Linked DNA regions of Rhinolophus ferrumequinum. The protein of the gene in region 2 interacts with the protein of the main gene of each other region in a pairwise test. Links are inferred from orthologs where the notes say so. Each region holds a gene or a part of one and is shown on either strand. Other genes may lie near its edges.

The links.
Region 1: the proteins of TRIP6 (region 2) and NEU4 interact in binary tests that used the Homo sapiens proteins (3 or more experiments, as listed by UniProt). The two-hybrid records come from large-scale screens. The link is inferred for Rhinolophus ferrumequinum from reciprocal best matches to the Homo sapiens genes TRIP6 and NEU4.

What each region holds. Positions count from the first base shown.
Region 1 is NC_046291.1:66,431-75,505, forward strand, and holds the start of NEU4 (sialidase-4), read right to left. Parts: upstream 4,769-9,075; 5' UTR 4,723-4,768; intron 3,951-4,722; exon of another isoform or gene 3,766-3,950; intron 3,624-3,765; exon of another isoform or gene 3,480-3,623; intron 2,074-3,479; exon of another isoform or gene 2,023-2,073; 5' UTR 2,020-2,022; coding exon 1,819-2,019; intron 1,726-1,818; coding exon 1,470-1,725; intron 550-1,469; coding exon 1-549. Other genes in the region: GAL3ST2 (galactose-3-O-sulfotransferase 2), read right to left, coding at 5,577-6,395, 7,124-7,388, 8,758-8,841. UniProt on the Homo sapiens protein: Exo-alpha-sialidase that catalyzes the hydrolytic cleavage of the terminal sialic acid (N-acetylneuraminic acid, Neu5Ac) of a glycan moiety in the catabolism of glycolipids, glycoproteins and oligosacharides.
Region 2 is NC_046290.1:91,071,577-91,081,282, reverse strand, and holds TRIP6 (thyroid receptor-interacting protein 6), read right to left. Parts: upstream 4,770-9,706; 5' UTR 4,445-4,769; coding exon 4,336-4,444; intron 4,075-4,335; coding exon 3,947-4,074; intron 3,856-3,946; coding exon 3,730-3,855; intron 3,444-3,729; coding exon 3,054-3,443; intron 2,734-3,053; coding exon 2,640-2,733; intron 2,529-2,639; coding exon 2,359-2,528; intron 1,904-2,358; coding exon 1,725-1,903; intron 1,464-1,724; coding exon 1,343-1,463; intron 1,231-1,342; coding exon 1,099-1,230; 3' UTR 960-1,098; downstream 1-959. Other genes in the region: SLC12A9 (solute carrier family 12 member 9), read right to left, coding at 5,296-6,185, 8,098-8,244, 8,454-8,628, 8,799-8,991, 9,133-9,257, 9,427-9,509, 9,626-9,706. UniProt on the Homo sapiens protein: Relays signals from the cell surface to the nucleus to weaken adherens junction and promote actin cytoskeleton reorganization and cell invasiveness. Involved in lysophosphatidic acid-induced cell adhesion and migration.

The sequences.
Region 1 (9,075 bases), on a different chromosome or scaffold from region 2:
ACCCCTGTGTCCCACCCAGCCCCCCACCCCCTTGGGTGTCTCCAGCACCCTTCTCTAGGGGTGTCTGGACTCCAGGACACGGGCTTGGAAGGGAGGGGGCCTTCTTGGGACCCACTGAGCATCCCTCATCCCCAGACCTGCAAGAGGGCGGGGCCGAGAAGCCCAGAATGCTGCCCTGGCAGCCACGGGCGGTCTCGGCCAGGGTGGGCACCAGTTCCCCAGGCAAGAAGGAGGTGCCCTCGTCTGAGCTGAGCGCCTGCACACGGCTGCCCAGGGGGCTCCGGGCATTGCAGTAGAGGATACTGCCAGCCTGCCCTCCATCCACCGCAGCCAGCTGGCACTCGCCCGAGCGCAGGTTGGGCACGAGGCTTCCATGCTGCCAGGTCTGGCCATGGTCATCGCTGTAGAAAACGAAGGCGTGGGGGCTGGTCCTGCAGATCTTGCCAAAACACTCACGTCGGTCCACGCGGTAGGTGTAGGCTGGTACCAGCAGGCGGCCCGAGCGCAGCTGGATGCCATGGCCAGGGCCCACAGCAAACGTGGCCCAGTCTGCAGATGGGAGGGGCTGCTGGTTACCCCAGAAGGGGACAGCCTCAGCTGCGAGGGACTGGGAAGATGCAGGGAGAGGGCGAGGTGGGGGACAGTGCCTAAGTCTACGGTATGGCTTGTGAGGAAGCCTCCCGTTGACCACGCCTCCCCTCCTCCCAGCCACCCTGTGTCCTCCCAGCTGCTCCAGCCTCTCCAGGCCCTTAGCAGGAGTGGGGAGTCCAGGCAGGCCATTTGGCTAGATTCTCAGCATGTCAGCAGGTGGCCAGTCTCTGAACACTGGTGTGAGCACTGGCCAGACAGAGGGGCAGCCCAGGGGTCGGGTGAGCCAAGCTTCAGGACTGGGTCTCAGGCAGCTTCCCCTGGCCTGAGCCCAGGCCCGGGGGGGTGGGGTCTACACCAGCAGGTACTTTTTCATTAGCTCTGTGTGTCCTGTCCAGGTCTCAGAGCCTGCTACGACCTTCAGTTTACTCCCACCTGCCAGGATTGGGGTGGCCCCTGAGAGCAGTGGGTGGTCAGGCCCTTGGGGAGGGGCCAGCAGAAGTGGAGGGAAAACTATGAGGTAAGGCCGACCTTGGACCTGCCGGCAACCCGCGGCTGGGACTCACTGGGCGAGGTGAGAAGGAGCAGGAGGAGGAAGTGGTTAAGGAGTGGAGGCCTTGGGGTTTGGGGGCTCAGATTCAGACACAGCTCAGGAAGATGGAAGAGCCTGCTCCTGTCGCCAGGCCAGGCTGGGTGTGACCAACAGCCGTTTGGGAGACTGAGGGGTTCGGGGATGCAACCACCCACAAACGTTGTGTCGGGTCCCTTAGGCTGGGGGCGGGGCGGAGCGGGACGGGCAGCCCAGGGACCAGGAGCCAGACTGTCCCCCACCCTATCGCCTGCAGACCACCCCCGGTGTGGACCCGCGTGCGCCCACCTACCCCGCTCGGCGCCGCCCACCGCCTCCGCCGTGAGGTCCCGCGCTCCGCCCCAGCTGCGCCCCGAGTCCTGGCTGGTCACGCAGCAGAGGCGCGCGGCGTTCCGGCCCGCGGCGATCTGTGCGGCCTCGGGCGTGCGGCCGCGCACCGCCACGAAGAAGAGGAAGACGGTGCCGGTGCGCGCATCGTGCACCGGGCAGGGGTTCATGGAGCGGTGCCCCTCCAGGGCCGCGGTGCCCATCACACGCGCGGCGCCCCACTGGCGGGAGGTGAGGGGCTTCAGCTTCCTGCCCTCACACACTGGGCGCCCGTCCCCGACCCCCGACCCCTCCCCCCCTGCCCAATCTCTCACCAGCACGGAGCCCCCCGCCAGCGTGCCGCGCCTCTGCACCAGGCGGTGGGCGTGTGTGTCGTCAGGGCTGAGTCGCTGCTCCGCGAAGGCCAGCAGAGTGGGCCCGGGGGGCACGGGCAGCAGCGCAGGCACGCGGTAGGTCAGGCCGCTTCTCTCGCTCTGGAAGAGCACGTTCCGTGCGGGGACTCGGGGGACCCCCATGCTCTGCGGGCCGAGGACCAGCGGGTCAGCAGGCAGGGTCCAAGCTCTCTTGGTCTGGATGGAGGAGGGGGCTTTGCAGGCGTAGACGCCCCCACCCACGCCCAGCCAACTCCTGTGCCCACCTCCTACCGTCCTATCCCTGGATCCCTACCCACCCCTCCTCCACAGCCAATGTTCCCCAAATGTCTGGAATCAGCCCTTCCTGTCAGCACAGCTCACCGAGGTGAAGCAGGGGAGCATGGCCAGAACCCCCGACCGACCCACCTGTGTGCCTGGGACATGTCCTCATGAACCTGCTCAGCACACAGCTGCCCAAGTGCCCAATCAAAACACAAGGCTTTGCACAAGAAGGGGTTCAGTGTCCCCAATTAGGGGTCCCAGGGAGGGTGGGCCAGGTGGGCTGGGTGCTGCAGATGTCGCTGAGGGGGAGAAGGCACACAGCATATGGGAGGAGACCATCGGATGGGCAGCATATGATGAGAATGAACATACACACACACACCCCTAAACGAGAGGGGCCTCGCTCCGACGCACAGGATAGGGTGTCTCCATGCCTGAGGTCCCTGACACAGACAGACCTGAGCCACCTCTCTCCAGGATGGCCCTGCTGCCCGCTGAGCCTAGCAGACCCCTGCCTAACCTCAGGTCTGCCCACCCCACTCGGCTCTGGGGTTTCGGACAACAGCTGCCCATGTCCCTGAAGCCCTGGGCCCCATTCCCAGTCTGCATCCAAGGGGCAGTTGTGCCCAAGCAGCACACAGATGTGAGTGCCACGTGTCCCTCCAGGCTGAATGGACACAGTGGGACATTCTCTCCACTTGGCTCTCTCCCCTGGTACTGAGACCACTGGGCGCAGAAGCAAGGGGCCCAGGTCTACCCCCTTCTGGGGACAGATGGAAGAGACGGAGGCCCCCAAGACCAGCTGGACAGAATGGGACAGGGCTGCTGGGCACTCCTTGCCCGGGCCAGAGCCCCAAAGTCCTGGGGAAGCCCCCTCAATCTAAGAGGAAGAGTCAGCCCTGCCCAATTTGGCCAATTCAGCAGGTTCCACAGCTTTGGCTTGATCCGATGTCTACATACCAGGGTTAACTGGAGCCAGCCCCTCTATTTCTTGGTACCCATCTTCCCTCCCCAGTGGGGCTCTCTGGGAGAGGCACATCGCAGAAGGGGAAACTGAGGCCTCCAAGAGAACTTGGCCTCTGACCCTGGACCCCGGGAAAGTTGTTGGGGGTCATTCTGCCTTCACAGGGGCTTGCCCCAGACCTGCCCACAGCCTGTCCTGTCAGGACTCTGTGCTGGAGCACGCAGGCTAGCTCCACACCCTCCCTCCTGTGTCACCACTTCTTTTGTTCTTTGGACAAGGAACTAAAATGCACACATGAAGAGCAGAGGCCCTCTGCATAGAAACCAGGAAGAGGACCTCCCTGGCTCTGGCACCTCAGGCTGGGGTTCCATCTAACCTGAGTGCCCTGTGTTCTGTCCCAGGCAAGGACTCAGTTACAGATCCCTCCGGCTGGTGGAGCATCCTCACTCACAGGCCCATCTGACCCTGCAGGCTGGGGCCGGGCCTCGGCTTCCGTCTTGCCGCCTGACACCAGTCTGCATCCTTCCCATCCCTAACTTACCCCCCACACCCTCCCACCTCCTCACCCCGCCCTTCAATGTCACACCTGCCCCGGGGCCAGGAAATTGTTCCACTGGGGATCCGTGTGGAACCTCTGACTGGAGGGCCCGCGGAATACACACCTATGGCCCTCCGCCCAAAGAGGGGCAGCCAGAGGGGACAGAAAGAGCCCGATCCTGGCCCCCGGCAGCCAGGGTGCAGCGAGCAGGGAGGGGACTCACCAGGCACCCGCAGGAAAGCCGCAGAGCTGGCTGTGGGGTAGCCACGGGAGTGCCTGCCTGCCTCTCAGCCCCAGTGAGCACGCAGAGACAAGGGCCCACTGTATGGGCGGGAGGCGGGAGCTGGCCTTGTCCCAGAGCTGCGTCAGGACCCAGGACCCTCCTGCCAGCCCTGCGGCTCTGGTGCAGCAGGACACCCAGGGTGGGGGACAGTGTCAGGACGGGGCCACACAGGGCTCCTCTATGCTGGCTGACCCACTCCACCGGAGGTGCTCAGGACCTGGGGGCAGGGTGGCCACAGCTGCCCCCAGGCATCCTGCAGAGACCCGTCCCCTAAGAACAAAAGTGAGTGCTCAGAGCCTCCAGGAACCTCCGTGAACCCTCACACCCCAGCCTATGTGCCAGCCTGCCTCTCCCCCAGCCCCCAGGACTCAGCACCTGCCACCCTCACTGGGCTCCAACCCCATGTCTGTGCTCAGGAGCCTGGCTCAGACCAGGCAGGTCAGTATCCCAACCCTTCCCCAGGGTCCTGCCAGCCAGGCCCCATTAACCCATCCCCTCCTGCTGTCTCCAAGGTGATTTCATGGCTGACCGCTGCCCTGTGGCCGCAGCCCTGTGGCCACTGCCCTGTGACCGCTGCCCTGTGGCCAATGTCTGGGTGACCACTGCCTGGGCCAGGGCATCAGGAAAGGTGCTGTCTGTGAAAGCAGCTCTCAGAGGGTCAGCCTTCTCAGGGAAGTCCTGGGACCCACCTGCCCTCCTTTTCCTGCCCCCTCCCTTCAATGTGACAGGACTTCAAAGGGAGAAACAGGCTCTGGGAACATTAAGACATCATATGATGTCCACGAGGAAATGACATACCTGCTCTGTGTCCCTTCAGATCCTCTGGGCCTGAGAGAACTTACGAGGGAAAACTGGGGAGGGGGGTGGGAAGAGGCCACAAGGCGGGAGGGGGGTGCCATCTCATCTGCATGACAGCCAGTGTGGGGACAGAGCCCCAGAAAGCAGTTTCCAGGCTCTCGGCCTCATGTGGAAAGGTGCTGGCTCAGGTAGTAGATAGCCATCAGCTGTGGCTGGTTGGCTGTCAGCTGTAACCATTGACCCATTGGCCACTAATATAACTGCCGTGGCTACGGAGGGAAGTCGAGGAGAGAGGAGGAGACTGAAGGAGAGTGGAGGAGAGTCGGTCGGTTGGTAGCAAAGCGGACAGCAGGTCGCACGTCGTGTAAACCCTGCCTCCAGTGAGACCATAGTAGTATGACTCCCCTACCTATGGCTCCGTGGGTGTTCCTTTTTGGCCTAGCCATATCCTGCGTTCTTGTGTGGGGAGCGGGACCAGAGACCCCGCAGGCCGCTCCGCACGACAGCCAGCCACTCCCTGGGCTCCTGCACTCCTGACCGGCGGTGTGTCCATACATGCCCCCCTGACAGGTGGTGTGTTGACGTCATTAATGGTCACTCTCACTTTCCTACCTTGTGAGACTTTTCTATTTGGTGAATAGATTCACATCCTCACACGTCATGTGTGCTTACTGACCTAGATTTGGGACCCTCACCAAGAGGGTGAGTCACGGGTAGTTCTCTTCATAGGCATTTTCACCCATAAGACCCACAGTCTGGCAGGGCCTGGCTCTCCAGATGCCCCAGGAGCCCTGCTCCGAGCCTGAGGCCATGCCCCAGGCCTCCCAGGATGACAGCAGACGGGCTGCCAACAGTCAGGCCTCCAGGAAGGAGATGTCCTTGGGGGGCTTTTCCGGGAACCGCTGGGCGTACAGACGGGCCATGTACTGCAGCTCCGGCGTGACCATCCTCTGGCACACCTGCAGCGTCTGGTTGTCCAGGCCCTGCCGGAGGTTGTAGCCCAGGATGTCGGCCTTGCCCGACTGGTAGGGGCGCAGGTGGAGGTCAGTGATCTGCTTCTTGTCCTTGGGCCCGCCGTCCTGCAGGCACAGGGCCATGAGCTCACGCCGCCGCGCCCGCAGACGTGCCACCTCCACGCGCAGGCGCAGAGGACTCAGCTCTGCGTGCACCTGGGCCCAGAAGGTGCGGTTAAAGTGCTGGTAGAGGCGCCAGTCCAAGGCGCACCAGCGCTTGGCGCGCTCCTGGCCCTCGGGCGTCAGACTGGTGACACTGCGCTGGCTGCGCGCGTTGAGCCTGAAGGACACGACGTCGTCCAGCCGCCAGCGCAGCCGGCGCCGCAGCAGCACCATGGACTCGTCGAAGTACTCGGCCATGAGCACCAGCTGAAAGCGCCGCTCCACCTCCGCCAGGCGCGCGCGCACGTAGTTCTCCTCCGCGGGCGCGTTGTGGTCATAGCCGAGGTCGAACCACATGTTGTTCTTGGCGTAGGCGTTTCGCAGGCTCAGACTCTGGTTGTAATAGGTGAGCGGGGAGGCCAGGAAGGCGTCCAGGTTCTCGGCGTTCCTGAAGGCGGGGACGTAGTCTTTGTAATAGATGAAGGAAGACTCCAGCTGGAAGACAGGGTTTCTGAGGATGGAAAAGTAGAAAGTGTCGTTGGGCATGACTTTCTGCACCTGTGTGGAGACAAAACAAGGCCTGCTGCCACTCAGGGCTCCTTGGGGGCAGCCCACGGGTCAGGTGGTCTCTTCTCCCCCGCCCCCACCCCACAGCACACCTGGACCTGCCCACCACCTCTCCCACGTGATCTCCCTGCATCATGTCCAGGCCACCTGGCTGCCCTGACAACCACCCTCCACGACTGTCCACAATGATCCAAATCACCTGAAACAGCCACACCCCTCCCCCAAATTCCCTCTCCTTGCTCCTCTTTCTCCTGGATGGGAGGTCAGGGAAGCCCCCCAAGAGGAGGTGACCTCTAAGCTGAGACCCAAATGACCCCAGGAGGAGATGTGAAGAGCTTCCCCACCAAAGGGGACAGCAAGTGCAAAGGTCCTGGGGTGGGAAAAACTGGGCAGGTTTGGGAACCAAAAGGAGGCTGGAGAAGAAGAGGGAGAGGGTGGCAGGCTGTGAGGGCGCCTGCTTCAGATTCCAAAAGCAATGATTGGCAACTGGCAGTGGGGTGTGAAGGGGTGGGGGGCTGGCAGGGTGTTCCAAGGGGCCTCTACCAGCCCCCTCCTGCCAGATCCCTGCACACAACCCCCAGCCTTAGTCTCTGCAGCTTCCAGGCCTTGATACCTCCCCCACGGTCACACCGCAAAGTCAAAGGTGGGCCCTGGGGTTGAGCCCCACCCCCTCACCACTCTCCCTTGCCCCCACACTGAGGTCCCAGCCCCAGCCGCACCTCAGGCAGATTAAACCTCAAATGGTTGCACATGACATTGAAGCGCTGCTGGGCGCCGTCCTGCTTCACGCCCTCCACATAGTGCGCCAGGAAGAGCCAGGGGTAACCCAGGTGGACGCGTGAGCCAGCGGGCAGCGCCACCGACAGGTTGCGTGTCTCCACAAATCGGAAGAGCATGTTCAGCACCGAGCTGCTGGCGGTCTTGTGCGTCTTGAGAAACATGACGTTGGTGATGGGTGGCCCCTCAGCCTGGTCCCCAAACAAGCTGGGAGGACAGCACAGCCAGCCACTGTTAGTGACGGAGCCCCTCCCCTGTCCCCACCAACCCGCAGTCTGAGACACCCCGACCCAGCACCCCCACAACTTGCTCCCCCAACTGCATGACCCCCAACCCAGCAATCCCCTCAACCTGGAGACCCCGAAACTCTCTTCTATCACTATGATTCCCCCAATCCAAGATCCCCCAACCTGCACTCCCCATACTGGTGACACCCCAACCCTATAACCCCCAGCCCCACTTCTGTGCTCCCCCTAACCTAGAGAACCCCAAACCTGCAGCCCCCGAGGACCCACTGGCACAGACACAATTCTTTCTAAGTGGCTGCACCATCTGCCCCCACATATCAGACTGGGCCCCCAGACCCTGGCACCCCCTTCAGCCTCCCAACTTCCTGCGTGGTTCCCAAGGCCTCTGGCATGTAACCTGGGCCACACATCTGGCATTTCTTGGCTGACCCTTCAAATCAGGACTGGCCAACCTGACTGCAGGGCCCAGGTGGATGCTGGTGCCCACTTCTGTGATCTCATGATAGCACCCACCCAGCTGTGGACTCCAGATTGGAGCAGTAGGTGCCCACCCTGCTCTATGCAGGTCCCCAAAGCAAGGCCAGTAAAGATGACCCAGGATGGTAGGAAACAGGGTCCAAAATGCTGGGCATTGTTTTTGAAATGCAAAATTAAGTGTTATTGGAAGATGATCCTTTTTCTGACAGGCATTAAGTGTTTAAGAATTTTAAATCCTTTTATTTTCCTCATAGAAAAGGCCACTGTCACAAACCCGTATTCACTGAATGCTATTTTCTGTAGTCTACGCTGGCCCTGGGGACAATGGTGAGGAGGGGGTGGCAAAGAGACCCAGGGGTCTTTTGCACTCCCCAATCTCCCGTGGAGATCCAACCAGAGGGGTGGGGTGGGGGCAGGGGAAGGTGGCCTGGGGCCTCAAGACTCTCCCAGCAGCCAGGCTAAGGTGCTGGGCCTGTGTGGCCATCCTGTGGCCCATGCCCTTCACAGAGGACGTACCACCGGCAGGCAGGGGAACAGGGGTGCTGACCTCCCCTGACCCACTATGGGCCCCCCCCGTCTCCTAGTACCTGGTCACCCTCTGCCCACAGCAGCTTTACCCGAGACACCTCCAGCCTGGGCCAAGTCCCCACCCTCTCAGAGATCTCCTCACTGCCCACAGGAAGGTCCCAGGAAGCTAATACGTCCCCCAAAGGAAGGGTCCAGCCCTCCTCTTAAGGAGGGGACGTGTGACCCATCCTAGTCACTGGCCACCCCGAGGGGGGCAGGCTGGGGGCCCTGGTACTGGTTTGGAGGGGAGCAGTGCCCAGACCAAAACCCAGTGCAACACTCACGGTGAAAACATCGTGACATCCACATGCAGGAGGCCAGCCAGCAGAAACAGGATCAGGGCCAAGAGGACGATAGCCCAAAAGCACCTGCAGACAGGAGAACACGTCGGCCCCCAGTCGGGCATGGGATGGCCTGACGCCACCCATCCCACCCCACCTTGCCCCACCATCATCCATGTGACAGCTCCTATCAAACACCTATTCTGTGCCAGCCTGTGGGGGCACGAATAATCAGACTACACACCCTCTCAGCCCCCGACCCAGGAGAAGCTGAGAGGCAGACTCAATCCCTGGGAGTCGGAGCAGAGGCAAGAGCAGGTC
Region 2 (9,706 bases):
CATCTCGCAGGGCAGGGGCTTGGGGAATGCGGGGTTTAGCGGGATAGAGGAACCATTTTAAAGTATTTCCCACCATTTTGTGCTCCCACCGGAGATCAGTCTTTATTGGTGCCTCCGTATGTGCTGCCTGCAAAACCCATTGTTCCTGCTCTAATGCTGCAAAGGGGGCTCCTCTTGTAGGCAAAACTGGCAGATCTCAGCCTCATCCCCAACCAGTACTTTGATGAGATACGCAGTGGGTTGAGGTCTTGATAAACAGGCAGTATCTGGTTTGCCCCAGATTAAATGCAGCGCCACCCCAGGTATAACACCAAGTCCTTGTTCAGTGAGTTGAGTATGAAGGCGTCCTAGGAAATGCTGCCTCCCTGGAGCATGCTGCTGCCTCGCTCCCAGCACTGAGAGGAGGGGTGTCATTATACCAAACTACATTGAAGAGTATACAGTCATTCCTTGGTCTCTGCAGGGATTTGGTTCCAGGATGCCTGGGGATACCAAATCCGTGGATGCCCAAATCACATATAAATGGTGTAGTATTTATATACGTACATATTTATATACGTATATCCTGTATGCTTCAAATCATCTCTGTGTTACTTATAATAAATACCTAATACAACGTAAGTGCTATACTGTACTGTTTAGGGAATAATGACAAGGAAAAAAATCTGTACCATGTTCAGTACCAAGTGCAACCATGGTAGGCCTAACTACACAGTACACGTAAGACAGATGTAACTTTTTTCCTGAGTATTTTCTATCCTCGATTGATTGAACCCAGGATAGAGAACCAACTGTACTAGAGTTGCAAATAATTGGACCAGGGCTAAGAAGACCCAGGTTCTGCCACTTGGGAACCATGCAATCTGGGGAAGTCACTTCTCAGTTAAAAATACAGTCACAACAGGTATGCTTGTGTTGACTGCTGTGAGAATCAGATGAGACAATAATAGACTCAAAAGTGTTTTGTAAACTCTTGGGAGATTATTATTTCATGATTAGAGGAAGAGAAAACAGCATTTAGTGACAAAGTTGTAAAGGTAGATGTCAGGGAAGGTGGTCGATGAGAAGGAAGAACGCAGCAGTTGCTTCTGGGAAGACTCAGCAGTCAGTGGTGACGGTGGCTGAGAGCTCCTGGATGCGCCAGGCGCTACAGGCCTTGCACAAGATGTGCCCATCCAGCGGATAACAGCCCTGACACTCACCCTCAGAGGAGAGCAGCAGCCCACACTCCTATTAGGAAAAAAGCAACAGCTTTCCATCAGGCCCAAACCCCTGGTTTCTACCATACCCAATATCCCCAGACCCCAATAACCCCAATAACCCCTTGCCCAGACCCCCTGACCTCGCACTTGTAACAGCCGATGTGAAAACTGCGATCCAGAGCAACAATTCGCACGGTCTCCTCCTGACCTGGCTCAGGCATGATGGCCCCACCACACACTGAGCATCGTGGAGCGAACTTCCTGGTGTAGAAGGGAACCAAGGAGGGTGTCAAGCCCCAGGTGTGGAGGGGACTGACGGTAGAGCCCAGAGAAGATGAGATGCGGAAGGGAACAGAAGAGCCCAGAGGTATGGTCTTGGATTTGGGGGAAGAGTGATGTTAACGAGAACAAGGCATGGCAAGGGTGAGAAACAGGAGAGGCTGGTACTGGGACAGGAAGAAGAAATGAGGAAGACAGGAAAGGCCAGACATCCTGAGCCAAAGGTGGGGGACCCAGCCTGACCTGTGGAAGTCCTCAATGCAGTGGATCTGGCTGGTGGCATCCACCGTGAAAGGGATGCCATCGAGGCCACGATGGCACACCACACAAGTGAAGCAGCCAGGGTGATAGGCCTTCCCCATAGCCCGCAGGATCCGGTCCAGGATAGGCTGAGAACATGTGGAGCACTTCTCCAAGGTGGCCTGTTGGGAAGGAGGTCAGAAAGGTCGGGGGCTGGGGAGGCCCACAGCAGCCCTACAGGCATCCTGCCACCCCACCCATCTGTTTATGGAGCCCCCTGCATATGATTTAGTGAAAGGTGGCCTTGTGCAGATCTGAGTGCAAATTCCAGCACTGCAGCTTCCTGAACAAGTTATTTGACTTCTCTGAGCTTCAATTTCCTTCAGTAGTAATATCTGCCTCACAGCATGTTGTGGGAATTTAACACTCTTTTAACTCCAAACTAAAAGCCTCACATTTGTAAGGGGCTGTTGTCCTTCCCCCAGCAGCCGGTGTTTAGCTACCTAATTCCTCCCTTCTTGTTTTAGTCCCCCAACTTTGAGCGCTCTTCCTCTTTGGGATTTGGACATCTTTCCCACCTTAGATGGAAGCCCCTTGCCTCCTCTGCTGATTCCAGCCTCCAGCCCCACCCACTCACCACATAGCAGCTCTCACAATATGCCCTCCTCTCCACGGCATAGAAATGTTGGCCCCGAAGCTGGGCCTGGCACGTAGAACACACAAAGCAGCTAACATGAAAGATGCGGTCCAGGGCCACAACCCCGGCCCCATCCCCAACCACATCTTCTCCGCAGCCACCACACCGGCCTGGGGACAGGGAGGGACAGGGTCAACCTGCATAGGCCAGGAAGCCAGGTCTGCTATCCCTCTGTCTCTCCAGCCCCCCACCCTTTCCACCCACCCTCAGACTTAGCTCACCAAAGTACTCCCCACTGGGCGGGTGGCTCATGTCGTGCACCAGCTTCTTGGTCAGCCTCTCGAGCTCCTCCTCGGGAGGCTGGCTCAGGGAGACCTGGGAGATGAGAATCAGAGGTTCAGCCCTACCTCTAGCTCTCGATGCTGTCAAAACACCTGAGGGTGACCAGGCAATTCCACCCAAAAAAGCTCTCGCTGAAGAACATGTCATCCCAGGGCCCAGGGACATGTCTCGAGCTAGTGTGCCACTCCAGCCCCCTACCTCCTACTTTTCCTGACCTGCCCCACATCCCCAGAGGGGTCCAGAGCTCTGGCACCCCAGACATCTGACAACCAGGCCTTAAATATCACTCCCATCCCACCCAATCAGTGTCCAATTGTCTGTGAGGACCCCAAATCTCAGTGCCTGGGGCTTACCTGGGGCCCATACCTGCCTCCTCTTCCTCCTCCTGCAGGGATGGAGACCCCAGCAGCCTCCTCTTTACCCCCGGGCCCTGGCTCTCGGTGGCTCCTATAGCCAGCCCCCCAGACTTCACTTCGGCCTGGGAGAGGAAAGTGGGGGCCCAGAAGGGGCCCAGAGGCCTGAGAGGCCCCCCGCCTGGGGGGGCCACAGCCTCTCACTGGTTGTGCCACCTTCACTTGCACAGGGAAGGCAGGGCCAGCGGGAGTGCTGGCTGTAGCATAGGAGGCTGGAGTGGGGCCCCCATAGGGGGACACTGGGAGCAGTGGGGGAGGAACACCACCTCCATTTGACTTCAGGGAGCCCAAGCCAGGGCGGTAGGCAGGGGGCTGAGGGGGCTCGTAAGCCTGGGGAGAAATGCAGAGGAAAAGGAGTGAGGTGGCCCATTACAGGACACACACCTGTGAACACCCCAGCCCCACCCCATGTGTGTGGCCACCAGGTAAGGGCTGGTTTCTGACAAAGGCCCACCCTGGAGAAGCTGACAACCCAGAAGTTCTGGTGGCCCAGCTCCTTCCATGCTGGTGTGTGGCATCACTTACACAGAGGGGGAGGTGAAGTGGGAGTAGGCTGAGTGGACAGAGAAGGGACAGGGCTAAGAAAAGGGGGGCAGGGGCAGGACAGGGGGGTCACCTGCCGGTCAGGCCTCCGAGGAGCATGACCACGACCCCCATCCAGCTCAGCCAGCATGCTAGTCAGAGAATCTATCTCAGCATCCAGACTTCCTGGGCGCTGGCCCCCCCTGTCTGGGGGGGGGCCCTAGGGATAGAGCAAAAGCAGGGAGAATGCAAATCACATGGCCTCCTCTCCCGCCCTGAATGCCCCCCAACCCCCCAATCCCAGTTCTCACCTGCGAACGCTGGGGTGTTCCATGGCAACCCACCCAGGCTGGCCCCAGATCCTCGGGCCCCCCAGGGACCTGGTAACACTGCTCAGATGGGAGGGGGCAAAAATTGACCCTGGGGTGGGGCTGAAGTGCTGGGGTGAGGGAAGAGAGTGAAGGTGGGGATGGGGAAGGAGACAAGGGTGACACTTGTGGAGGACCCTCTCAGGTCCTTTTCTCCCCTTCCCCCCAGATCCTGGGGTCTGAGAATGTGGCAGGAGGCAGGGAGGGCCGAGAAAGGGCAGGGGCAGCTGATTTCCAGCCTGGCTTCGGGGAAGGGGCGGCAGGGGAAAGCTCGGCGGGAGGCAGGGGCCCGCTGGCGGGTGGCTTCCTCCATCGCACAGGGGTTGCCTTACCTGCTCCGTGAGCTGGCGGCGGCCCCAGGGCGCCTCGGGGGAGAGCTCGCCCCAGAGAGGCTCTGGCGGGCTCTGGCTGCTTCGGGGGGAGCCAGGTGGGCCCCGACATGGCCTAGAATGGGCGTCTCCAGACAGCGCGTTCAGGGTCCCACGGAGCCCGAAGCCTCTGGACTTGACCCTTTCTTCGGTCGCTCACCTCGTTTGGGACTCCAGGAAAGAAACTTTTTCTGGCTTTTTTTCCCCTTCCTCCCTAATTTGGGGGACGGCCACGCCCCCGTGACGTCACCGCATTCCTGGGGGAGGGTCACGTGGCCCCCTAGGCCCTAAACCGCGTTCTTCCCCGGAGTCGGCCCCCTCCTGCCCAACAAGGAGGGCTTTCCACGGGAGCCCGTCTGAGGGGCCGTGGGCAGCTTCCATTTCCACGAGTCCCCCCAGGTCCGCTCCCCAAGTCCTGCACGTGGCCACCTCGCCTCTGGGACATTCCAGTGCTCCTCTTTCCCAGGTTCCCCTTATACAGATGTCTCCCTTTTCCAGTCCCACCTATCCCATCAGTAGTGTTCAGCCAGCAGTAGTGTTTTGGTCGTTTATTGACATTCAGCAGTTAGAAAAATAAAACAACAAAAACGTCACAACCTCACTGGTCAGTGAGTCTGTTGGGCAAAGGGAGACTGAGGTAGCCTAGACTCACAAGCGGAGACCCAGCCCCCATGAAGGCACCAATTAAGGGAGGGAGGGGGCAGGGCTGACTCCCTCTCCTTTGTGGCAGGGATAGCTTCCCAGCATTAGTGCACCAGGACCCCTCTCCCAAAGACAGAGAGATGCCCCAGCCCAGGATCCCCTAATACCTCTACCTGGCTCTGTGTCCCACATGCAGGGCAGGCCCAAGGTGGCCCTTCCCCTCCTCATCCACTAATCAAAGTGGGCCACCAGACCTGGACACTCCACTTCAGGAATGGAGCATCAGAGATCAGTGCAAGTGACAGGGGTGACACCATGAATGAGCAGTGTGGGACCCAGATCTCGGCTCAGAATCTCCAGAAGTGCCAGGTAGCGAGGGTAGCGCGCAGGATCAGCAGGTGGCCGAGGCAGGTATAGGAAGGTGAGGGCAGTGGTGGGCCCCTCCCTGCCATCCCCACTCTCAGGCCCCCCAGGCACTCCTCCTCTGCCTCGCCCCTGCTGGGCCCGAACCAGGGCGTTGGCGCTGCATGCCAGGGCCTCTGCCTCAGCGTCTCCTCGCCTGCCGTTCACAAAGTCCCCTTCCTCCTCCTCCTCAGGCTCTCCGGAACCAGCCCCATCGCCCCACACCACCTCCTGCACCTCAGCCCGGATCCTCAACTGGCTCAGCAGGGCTCGGAGTCGCCCCTCGGCCGCCCCTGGGGCCTCTCGAGGCCCCAGGCACAAGAAGATCCGTAGCCTGGCACTGTGCCAAGCAGGCACCATGCCCAAGATGGTTGCCATCTGCAGCAGGAAGAGACCGCAGACGTCCACATAGCCAGGCCCACCCCGGGGCCGCAGAAGGTTGAGGGGCCACACATCCACGTGATGGGGCTGAGAGGTGCCCCCAGACGCCCGGCTTAGCCGCTCAGGGGGCAGGGCCCCACAGGCTCTCGCCAGAACCACGTTCTTGTTCATCTTGAGGGCGTCCGCTACCGTGGCCACGTAGTCCTGGGGACTGAGAGCCCGGGGACTCCCAGGAGCCCGGGGTGGAGGGAACAGGGTGCTCAGGGCTGGGGACCCACCCTCCTGGGTGCCATCAGCAGGCTCAGAGAAAGCCGGGTCTGTCAGGAAGTGGTCCTGAGGTGCAGCATCATCGTAGAAACCCAGGACCAACGTGTTCGGCTTCATGCCACCTGGGGACAGAGAAGGGGAGGTGGGAAGGAACCGACAGGAATCAGACTCACCAGCTGAGTTTTCACCATGCGATACACATCCACTCGTACACACTGATGGCAACATTGGATATGACATTCATTCCACTGTGCTTGGGCTCTTAGGACAACATTATGCATGTTTGCATGATGACTTTTAGTTTTCCCACATTTGCATGCATTTATTTGACTTATCTCCATGACTAATCTTCCCTGTTTAAATAGGCAAAGCAAGTTCACCTTAAGATTCTTTTAACTAATGAGCACTTTTGGTGGCAGTAGGATGCCTTCAATCCAAGCTTCTAGCAGCACATCTTTTTCATGATGGGAGTCTGACTCCACTGGGTAGACCAGACCCCCTAATTAGTCAAGCTCATGGCCTCAATATCCAGGGAAACAGCACCCAGACCTTGCTGGGGGAGGATGAGAACTCAGGGCCGGGGCTGTGCAATCTCTTTCCCTAATGACGGCATGTCCAAAGCACGACGCCCAGAGATCAGACAGCTAACATCTATCTGCACACTAACCAGGGGCCACGTCCTATTGAAAGCACTTCATGTTTTAACTCATCTGATCCTTGAAGCAACACCATGAGGTAGGGACTATTTACTCACTCCCTTTTACAGATAAGGAAACTGAGGCCCAGAGCAGTGAAGTCACCTGCCCAAAGGCTCATGGATGGTAAATACTGGGGCGGCAGGTGAACACAATGTACCCAGCACTCCAGCCCATTCTCTGAGCCTCTGAGTTTGTATGTGTACCAATCACAACGCCCCAAGTCCCTGCCAACAGTTCCTGGTTTTTAAGTTTTTGAACAACCAATATGGAATTGGATAATTTCTCCACCCCCTCAAGAGGGGAGACTATGGAGGAAGACTCTGAGACCTCTCCTTAGACCCTTTCTCTTGAAACAAATGGGTTACCAGGAGAATTTACTATTTAAAGGAAATCTCTTTCCTTTTATTTGAATCATTTTCCACAGAATAAATTGCATGAAAGTAGTGGTCTCTTGGCATAGGTTTCCCCACAAAATGTGGGGCTGTGGAGAGACCAGGCCCTCAGCTGCTCCAGGGTCTATCTCATAATGCTTGACAACATCCAAAAACACCTTGGAACTCTAGCTGTTCTTGCAAATTAAACTAATCACACCCCCTCCTGAGCATTTTCCAGGGTTCTCATTTACACCAAATAGGGCAATGTCCAACACTTGATCTTTACCCTGATTCTAAGTGGAGAAGGAAGCATACACTCAGAGAGAGGGCAGACACCTGTACCGGGATTAAGAAAGAAGGAGGTGGCTGAGCAAAGATTTGGAGGAAGCTGGGGTGCAAGACCGGAGGCCTCAGCACTAAGACAGTCACAAAGCTGGGCATCTTCCATTCCACCCAAAAGCATCAGCCTCATACACCCTCTGCATCTCTGCGGTCTCTGGGGGCCATGTTACACCACTCCCTACTTCTCAGCCCCTTTCAAGGCCCAGCTGAAAGATCATCTCATCACAATACTTTTGCTGGCTATATCAGTGCATAGTGGTCTTCCTTTCTCGGAACTTGAGTGGTTAGAAACCATCTGTCACAGATTTGATGGGGCGGCCCCTGGCCTCAAATAATTCTCCCATTATCCCCAGAAATACAACATACTCTTTGGAATCTGTGCCCCAATTTTTGGATCAGAAAAAAATAAGTGTCACCCCATCTCTAGTCCTTAAACATCTCTTCCGAGACCTGACCACACACTGTTATCTTTGAGTGCTATGTCTTATCTGCACTAAACTGAGGGTTTGGAGTTTGTAATCTGCGGTCTAGTCTCTTGGGTGGTGGTGGGGTCACGGGTATAGCAGAGACTGACAAGAGCCACAAAGGAGGCAGAGGGGACCCAGAGAGGAGCAGCTTACCAAGACCCGAGATCCGCAGCAGATGCTGAGCCCCCTGACGCACAGAGGGTGAGAGGGTGAGGTCCACGAAGGCTTTCACTTGGGCCCGGTCCACGAGGCTCAGCCATGCCCCATACTGTGGCTGCACAGGGTCTGAGGGCAGGCAATCTGCAGAGAAGGAAAGCAGCAAATATGGGCCAAACTCATGGACTTTGTCCTAGAGTCCAAATCCCCAATGGGCAGAAGAAAAAGGTCTGGGAGGACTGTGTGCTGGTTGTTTAAGGTTCATCTGGGAAGAAGCATGAATCCTCTGGGACATAAAGAACACCAAGAGCTTCTGAGACCGACAGGGAAAGGAGGAATGGAGGGCAACTCACCAAGGTCTCCCAGGGTGACATGACCCAGCACATAGAGGCCCCCCTTCTTGAGCTGGTTGGCCAACCTCAGCAGGGGCAGGGCACCCCGGGGGTTCCCCACCAGCAGCAGCAGCTGGGGCCGCCAGAACTTCACGTGCTCCTTCCGGACGTCCAGCCGGAGCAGGTATTTACGCACCTGGGGACAGGGTAAGGTGGTGGGGAGGAAGGGCTTAAGTGGGCAGTCCCCACTCAACACATCTCAGACAGGAACCCTAACTCTAGCCAAGAGAAAAAGAGGCCTCCTTGTAGGGTAGGTTTTCCCAGACTGCCTCCTCCCCTTCCCACCCTCCTCCAAGCTCCCCTGACCTGGTGGAAAAGCAAGGCCTGGCTGACATAGCCCCAGCTGCTGGGGCCGCCTCGAGCAGTGAGCAGGGCAGAAAGCAGGCCCATGAGCAGCAAGGAGCCGCCAGCAGCCCCGGGGCTGATGAGAAACATCATGAGCAGGCAGGAGGCCACCCCCAGCAAGCAGGTGTGCCAGGAGAACAGACTGAAGGTGGGGCTGTAGGTAGACAGAAGGAAGGACACTCAGGACCGGCTGAACACTAGGCCACCCCACTCCAATCCCAGCCTCCCCACCTTGGTCTGAGTTCCTCCCATTCCTCCCTCTTTTTCTGGGGACATGGGCATCTTATTCTCTCACCGGAAGTTGGGGGCTGAGGCCCACTCCAGGCTCAGGCAGGACAGGTCCACCGCAGCATAGGCCACCAAATAGAAGACGGTGACCACTGCAGCCAGTGTGTTCAGCTTCCCAGCCAGAAGCACCAGCTGGACAAGGACCAAGAGGCTGGACATTGAGCCAACCCCCCACCAAATGCCAATGCATCCTGCCTTTCATTCACATCTCTCACCCAGAGCCTAAGCGCTCCTGATCCTGCGAGCGTAATCAGGAGGGGCTTAGGGTGAGGGGAAGGGCAGCTTAAAGAGGAAGGCTTACCTGTACTAGGCCCCATGAATAGAGCACGGCCCCCCAAGGGTTACCCCCTCGGGACACAACCTTGGCTGGTGCCAAGATCACTCCTGTGCAAACAGAAATACAACAGACCCATCAGCCTGGGTCTGTTGGGTCTGAACGGAGACTGAGAGACACGGGAGGGCACGCTCAGAGCCCGGCACGGAGGCAGGGGACAGTGTACCAAAGAGGTCGTCCTGGGCCAGGGCGTGAAGGATGCGGGAAGCACCGATGAGGGAGCTCATGGAGGCTGAGAGCGCTGTGG